Linked DNA regions of Oryctolagus cuniculus. The protein of the gene in region 1 interacts with the protein of each later gene in a biochemical or structural test. Links are inferred from orthologs where the notes say so. Each region holds a gene or a part of one and is shown in the gene's direction. Other genes may lie near its edges. The genes, in order: MAP3K2 and SMYD3.

Region 1 (3,818 bases):
TGTAAATAAAATACTTAAATATATTAGATTTTAAATAGTTAAAGCAAAAGAAAATGTTAATGTAGCTTGTCTAAAGAAACCACGTACAGCTCAGAGATGAAAATATTTTGAGAAAGTAAAAATCCATAACCCAAACATTTAATATCCACAAAGGGACGAGTACTATACTATAGTGATGCCTTGCAGTTTCTTTTTTTTTAAGATCTGTTTATTTATCTGAGAGGCAGAGTTACAGAGAGGCATAGGCGGAGAGAGAGAGAAAAAAGTCTTCCATCCGCTATTTCACTCCCAAAATGGCCACAACCACCAGAGCTGGGTTGATTGGAATCCAGGATCCAGGAGCTTCTTCCGGGTCTCCCATGCTGGTACAGGAACCCAAGGACTTGGGCCATCTTCTACTGCTTTCCCAGGCTATAGCAGAGAGCTGGATTGGAAATGGAGCAGCCGGAACTCACACTGGCACCCATATGGGATACCAACTCCACAGGTGGATGCGTAACTTACTACACCACAGCTCCAGGCCCTAAGGAAAATCTTACAAGAGGTGTTAGTTTTGTGTACCTGTAGACAAATAAAAAATTCATGTATACTGCATATTATTCCACTTATTTACTTATTTCTGGTACAGTATCATTCATGCTGTTCAAAGTGAACTTTTTTTTTTATTTTTTATTTTTTGGAAAGGCAAAGTTAGACAGTGAGAGACAGAAAGAAAGGTCTTCCTTTTCTGTTGGTTCACCTCCCAAATGGCCGCTACGGCTGGCACACTGCGCTGATCTGAAGCCAGAAGCCAGTGCTTCCTCCTGGTCTCCCTTGCGGGTGCAGGGCTCAAGGACCTGGGCCATCCTCCACTGCAGTCCCAGACCACAGCAGAGAGCTGGACTGGAAGAGGAGCAACCGGGACAGAATCCGGCGCCCCAATCGGGACTAGAACCCGGTGTGCCGGCGCCATAGGCAGAGGATTAGCCTAGTGAGCTGCAGTGCTGGCCCAAAATGAACTATTACCGTATAAACTTATGGTTCACCAGAATTGAAATAACCAGGAATTTGAAGCTTGAATGGATTTGTTTTTTCTAGTAAGATGCTGACTGTAGTTGTTCTTGTGGGAGATTTTCTGAACTCTTTCTCAGTTTAGATGAGAACAAGAAAATCTATGGGCTATTTTCATATTTCACTGTGTAAAGTCAAGAAGATAATTCACTTATTTCAAATTTAAGTTCTATTCCTTGTGTTCTTGAACTAATTTTTTTTCTTTTGTGGAAAGGATTTATATTAACATAACATATCAAAAATTAGCTGAAGGGAGATTGCGTGAATAATACTGAAATGAATTTGTGAAGCATGAAAATTCTGTTTTATTTACTATAATTTAGATAAGCCAGGACTTGTTCTTGACTCTCATTCTGGATTTTACTGTTTGTAATAGGTGACCTTAGAACATAGGGATAATCACATCAGGACTATAAAAAAGATGATTAATGAGAGGAGCAAAATTGCCCATTTGATTCATAACTGGTAGGAGAAGGAAAGGAATTTATTAAGCAGATAAATAGATCAGACTTGTGTAATATTAGTTAATAATTATTTTTTCATTAGGAACAAATTCTTAAAAGGAAAACAGAGTCCAGTGGCTGGGTAACTTGTAGTATGAAATTAGCCTCAGACAGAAGTTGGGACTTAGGTTGTAGGTGTTGAGTTAGTAAATGTGAGCAGACTGTGTGATGGAATTCATGGTAGTCCTTTGTGGTTCTTAAAACAAGGGTGTTTCTCATAAAGAAATCATAGAGAATGAATGTATGCCCTGCTAGTTAGTGGGTTTGGATGTACATCAAACTTTCACCTTTCACCTCTGGGTTATCTATCTGTTTATTTTTTAAGATGTATTTATTTATTTGAAAGACAGAGAAAGAGATCCATCTTCCATCTACTGTTTCACTCCCCAAATAGCTGCAGTTGGCTGAGTCTGAGTCTGACTGAAGCCAGTGCCTGGAACTCCATCTGGGTCTTCCACGTGGGTGGCAGGGGCCCAAGCACTTGAACCATCTTCTGCTGCTTTCCCAGGCATGTCAGCAGGAAGCTGGATCAGAAGTGGAGCAGCCAGGATTTGAACCAGTGCTATATGGGATGCCAGTGTCATAGGATATGGCTTAACCCACTGTTCCTGAAGTGCCTTCTTCCCCTACATGATATTTATTAAATAACATTTACCAAGTCTTTTCTCTTTGCTGTGCTCTGTAGTTATTGCTAATGTGCATAGGTCCTTGTTCACAAGGTATTGTAGGGAATCCCAAACTATGTAGGCCTTCAATTTGAGTGACTCATAGACTCTGCTAATAAGGGCAAGTGGAATACGTTCATTTGTTTACTTCTGTTTGTCTTTCAATAAAGTTGAATGTACTTTGGAGTTATTGACAGTCTTCTTGAACTACTAAGTTGACATTTTAAAAGTATTTTTGAGTTTCTTAAAATGTATGCATCATACTTTTTCTCACAGACCTCTTTGGTGCTTTTGTCCTCTGTAATAGCTGATCCATGAGACAATTGATGAAAGCAGATTTCCACATTTAGAGTTGATGGGATGACTGACCCATTTGGTTTCTTGCAAGAACAGTGCTCAGGCCAGCAGGGTCAGAGAGGCAAACCCCAGGTGGACTGCAGATGGCATGTAGGTTGCTTGTGGCAGTTCTCTATGGCAGCTGTCACAGATGCTGTGGGTGTTGGTGTGTCAAGGAGCGCACTGGGCATGAGCGCAAATCTGTGTTTACTATTGGAAAAAGCACTGAGAGTTTCATCTGTGCAGATGAAAAATCATACCTTTATTTTATACAGTTTGTGTTGTACTCCTTAATGTCATTTGGGGATGAATATTTTGTAAGTTATATTTGGCAATATTGTGGAAGAATCTTAGAAAATTAATCTTTATGTAATTAACAGCTAAATTTAAAAATATTTAGCTGTATCTATTCTGAGATTTTACTGGTAGCAGCATGGGGAGAGCAAAACAATATAGAGTCATGTGCTTATTCAGACTGTCATTGTAGTAACAAATCAAAGAGCAAGGTATTTTGAAATTTTTAATGCCCTAGTAATGGGGATAACCATGGGAGAGCTTGACCTGATGAGATGGCTGTATGATTCTTTATGTTCCTTTTTGTTTAGTTGGTAATTCCACTAACTACCCAAGATGACTTGGATAAAGCTGTGGAACTGTTGGATCGTAGTATTCATATGAAGAGCCTCAAAATATTGCTTGTAATAAATGGTAATGCACAGGTAGGAATTGGAATTTTTTCTTAATAATTGTGGGATTTAAGCCTATAAAATCCAATGTTTGAAATAGTTACATTATGTAATCATCACTGTATTTTCAATATGAATAAATGTAAAAGTACACACTTTAATTGCTATTGTTTCAATAACTTTGCTCTTCAAAACTACAAGTCAAAAATTACAAATAAGTATAATATTTTGAGTATGTGAAGCTAACAGAAACTGACAGTTTGGGAAGAATTATGTTAGAATAAAAGTTTCAAAGAGTGTAAGGTTTGCTAAGGCCCATAAACAATATAGAATAGCTAGATTGTGTTTGGTAGGGAAGAGGATTCTATTTAAAAGTCCTGAAGGGGAAGAATAACATTAAAATTGTCACTTATCCTCTGTAGGCTACTACTGTAGAACCATTAACATCACTAGAAGATTTGGATAACACAGTATTTGGAGCAGAAAGGAAAAAACGACTGTCTGTGATAGGTAAGAAAGCTGGTATCTGAATCATTGAGCACTCTAATTAACCCAGCAGCCATCAGACCAGTAAATTT
Region 2 (3,918 bases), on another chromosome or scaffold:
GGCCATTAGCAGGTTGCTGGGTCAGAGGTAGAGCAGTCAGGACTTGCAGTAATGCCCATATATAATACTGGTGTTGCAGGCAGTGGCTTAATCCACTACACCACAATGCCGATCCCTGTCTGATGCGTTAAAGATATTTCAAAATACTTTCATAGAACTTATCCTCATCACTTCACCAGGCATTATTATCTTCCTTGCACAGATAATAAACAGACTTGGAGAAAGGCCATATTGCAGAACTGAGACTCAAATTCTGGTCCACGGCTTTCTTTACTTCACCTTGGCCACTTGTTGGCTACTCCAGCAAATTTCCAAAGTTTGTCTCTCCAGTGCCAGAGTATTGCCCACAGCATTACTTACTAATATTACTTTATTAGTATTGAATTTTATTACTAATATTACTTTATTAGTATTAGTATTGCATTGTAATACTTTATTAGTATTTATTAGTAATACTTTATTAGTATTATAGTAGTACTAGTGACAAAGGTGAAATGAACCTTGACAAGACAGAGCTAACAGAAGCAGCTGTAGTCTGTCGATGCAATTGACTACAATGCAATGACTACATTGATTGCAATGTCTCAATTAGTTTTATCAATAGTGGGGCAACTTGATATTGTGCACTTTCAGATGTAATATAATGCAATACAAAGTAAACAATATCATGTACAAGGAAAAAAAAAGTTTTCATTGAATCCAGTCAGGCCTCTAGGCTCTTACATCTAGATTTAGCCTACAGTGAACAGGAAATACAAGAGCAAGTTAAATGACACCAGGAAAATACAAAACTCCTAGCTTAGACTCTGCAGAGTCCATGTCAGAAAAAGTGCATGACCTTTGATTGGATCCTGGTTTAAAAAACCTTCCAAAAACAGTTGCAAAAGGCATTCATCCTTTTTTCTTTTTTCTTTCTTTCTTTCTTTCTTTCTTTCTTTCTTTTCTTTTTTTTTTTTTTTTTTTTACAGGCGGAGTGGATAGTGAGAGGGAGAGAGAGAGAAAGGTCTTTCTTTGCCGTTGGTTCACCCTCCAATGGCCGCCGCGGCCGGTGCACCGCGCTGATCCAAAGCCAGGAGCCAGGTGCTTATCCTGGTCTCCCATGCGGGTGCAGGACCCAAGCACCTGGGCCATCCTCACTGCACTCCTGGGCCACAGCAGAGAGTTGGCCTGGAAGAGGGGCAACCGGGACAGAATCCGGCAGCAAAAGGCATTCTTCAAGTGAATACGGTTCTGCTTGCTACTATAATTTTCTTAGGTGTGATAGTGATCTTGTATTTTATAAAACAGTGTTCTCATTCTGAGGTAATGCCAGTTAAGGTGTTTGATGTGAGGTAAAGCGCACCTTTCGAATGGTTCAACTGTACAGACTGACGTACAGATCGAGAGAGCGAGCAGAGACAGCAACATGCGAACAGGCTGATGCAGGTTGAGCGTACACAGGTGTTCACAGCATTACTTTTTCAACTTTTCCTATGTTTTACAATGACCATAATCAACAGAGCAGAAAAAAATGCCGCCTTTCTGGGCGGAGCCACCTCGCGCACCCGCCGTCGGGAGAGCAGTCGGAGCGCTGAGCAGCTCGCGCGCTGCCGCCGGCTCCCTTGGAGACGCGGTCTGGGCATGCTCAGAGGCCCCGCCGCGCCCGCCCCGCCCCTCGGGCGTACGTGGGCGCGCAGGGCGCAGGCGCGCGAGTCCTGGCAGCCCGCGAGACGCCAGCTGCGGTACGCGGCCGTCAGCTGAGGTGCGGGAGCCGCGGCACTATGGAGCCGCTGAAGGTAGAAAAGTTCGTGACCGCCCACAGGGGAAACGGGTTGCGCGCCGTGGTCCCGCTGCGCCCCGGAGAGCTGCTGTTCCGCTCGGATCCCTTGGCGTACACGGTGTGCAAAGGGAGTCGGGGCGTCGTCTGTGATCGTTGCCTGCTGGGGTACGTACGCTGCGCCCTCGCCCACCTGAGTCCCCGGCGGTGTGTGGGGTCCGGAGTGCTGGGGGGCCTCTGCCTGGTTGGGGCTGCGCGGGAGCCCGGCGGTGCTGCCGAGATGCCTGGTCCGGCACTCCCCCGGACGCGCGTGTTGCGGGGGGCGGGTCGCCCTGACAGGCCCGGCGCGGAGAGGGTGGAGGGTGTGTCGAGGCCCAAACCCTACCTCTCTGCAAGGTGGAACTGGACCCGCGAGCCGACCGGTCCCCCGAGCTGCGTTGGGAATTAGGGGCAGACTGGACGGGGATAATTTTGCTGGAGAACAAAAAGTCTACATCATGTGTGACAAGCTTCGTTGGGACAACTGTGGAACTGACTAGTGCAGGGGTGGGTGTCAGTGCGGCTCACAGCCGAGTCCCCACCGGGAAAGAATGGGGCTTGCAGGGAGGCTGAAGAATCCTGGTGAGGAGGGTGCACTTCTGTTATTGGTTCTGTGTGGCCTGCGAACACGAAGATGGACTGGACGTTGTTTGGAATCTTTAAGCAGCAGATCAAGTGGGAAGGATAATTACAGTGTATCAGAAAGGCAGAAATAGAGATGCAGTTACTGTGCTATGGGAGCGTTTGTAAGTTACTGGGGTTCCTTAGTGTGCTTTGCCATATCCTTGCCGTGCGGGAAAGTCTAACTCTGAACCACCTGTCCAGGTGCAAGAATTCACGTGAGTGTTTAGGTAGCCTGGCAGCACAGTGCCATTGAAAAGCGCTATGGGAAAGCAGTTTATGGGAGTGTGTAACACATGCAGCGGTAGGAATTGCGTTCAATGCTATTGAGTTTTTGTTGAGTTTCTGCCTGCAACTGAGAAGAGCTCTGTTTTGAGATGGGTAGGATGATTGCTTTTCCAGACCTGTCAGGCTGGGATTGAGTTAGGGAAGTACGTGCAAAGCTCAGATCTGTAGCTTGACTTTTACTCTCACTAGGTCCCTATGTGATCCATAATTGAGGAATCTGTTTAATTTGAATTTGAAGGTTATCAAATAATAGTTGTATTTGCTGATTTCTGAAAAAGTGTTGATGACAAAAATCCATTTGGGAAGGAGCACATTGTGTGATTAAGAACAATTCATTCCTTTCAAGACTTTGCTGAAGGCTGTCGTTTAACTTCATAGATCTTTGATTATCCTTCAGGCAAATTGAGAAATTGGCCTGTGTATTCTGTTGCATCCTTTGGAGTATATGCTGAGTTTTACTGTAGTCCAAAATAGAGAACTTGCTGTTTAAGTCCTATCATATTAATTGGTGAATAGAATGTGGGCCACTTTGGTAATAAAATCAGGCTAACACTTTATTTAGTACCTGGAATAGAAATGTTTTGGAATGAGTGAATGGTGACAAATTAGTAACTATTGTCAGAGCTTCACTTCAGTCATAAAACACATGGAATTGTCCATTTTCCAAATAAACTACACAGTGTTTTTGTGGGCAGGATGCTTCTTGATTTGCCTTATTATTATTATTATTATTTTTTTTTTGACAGGCAGAGTGGACAGCGCGAGAAAGAGAGACAGAGAAAGGGCTTCCTTTGCCGTTGGTTCACCCTCCAATGGCCGCCGTGGCAGGTGCGCAGTGGTCGGCGCACTGCGCTGATCCGAAGGCAGGAGCCAGGTGCTTCTCCTGGTCTCCCATGGGGTGCAGGGCCCAAGCACTTGGGCCATCCTCCACTGCACTCCCGGGCCACAGCAGAGAGCTGGCCTGGAAGAGGGGCAACCGGGACAGAATCCGGCGCCCCGACCGGGACTAGAACCCGATGTGCCGGCGCCGCAAGGTGGAGGATTAGCCTATTGAGCCGCGGCGCTGGCGCCATATTATTTTTTTAAAGATTTATTTATTTATCTGAGAAGTGGAGTTACAGAGAGAGGGAGAGACACAGAGAGAGGTTTTCCATCCACTAGTTCACTTCCCAAATGGCTGCAACAGCCAGAGCTGTAGGAAGAGATATCAGAGA

What was found.
Region 2: the proteins of MAP3K2 (region 1) and SMYD3 are reported together in a solved structure, tested with the Homo sapiens proteins (2 studies listed by BioGRID and IntAct, with this or other methods). The link is inferred for Oryctolagus cuniculus from reciprocal best matches to the Homo sapiens genes MAP3K2 and SMYD3.

Annotation. Positions count from the first base shown.
Region 1 is NC_091434.1:122,237,099-122,240,916, forward strand, and holds part of MAP3K2 (mitogen-activated protein kinase kinase kinase 2), read left to right. Parts: intron 1-3,159; coding exon 3,160-3,273; intron 3,274-3,662; coding exon 3,663-3,750; intron 3,751-3,818. UniProt on the Homo sapiens protein: Component of a protein kinase signal transduction cascade. Regulates the JNK and ERK5 pathways by phosphorylating and activating MAP2K5 and MAP2K7. Plays a role in caveolae kiss-and-run dynamics.
Region 2 is NC_091444.1:66,465,819-66,469,736, reverse strand, and holds the start of SMYD3 (histone-lysine N-methyltransferase SMYD3), read left to right. Parts: upstream 1-1,661; 5' UTR 1,662-1,760; coding exon 1,761-1,924; intron 1,925-3,918. UniProt on the Homo sapiens protein: Histone methyltransferase. Specifically methylates 'Lys-4' of histone H3, inducing di- and tri-methylation, but not monomethylation. Also methylates 'Lys-5' of histone H4.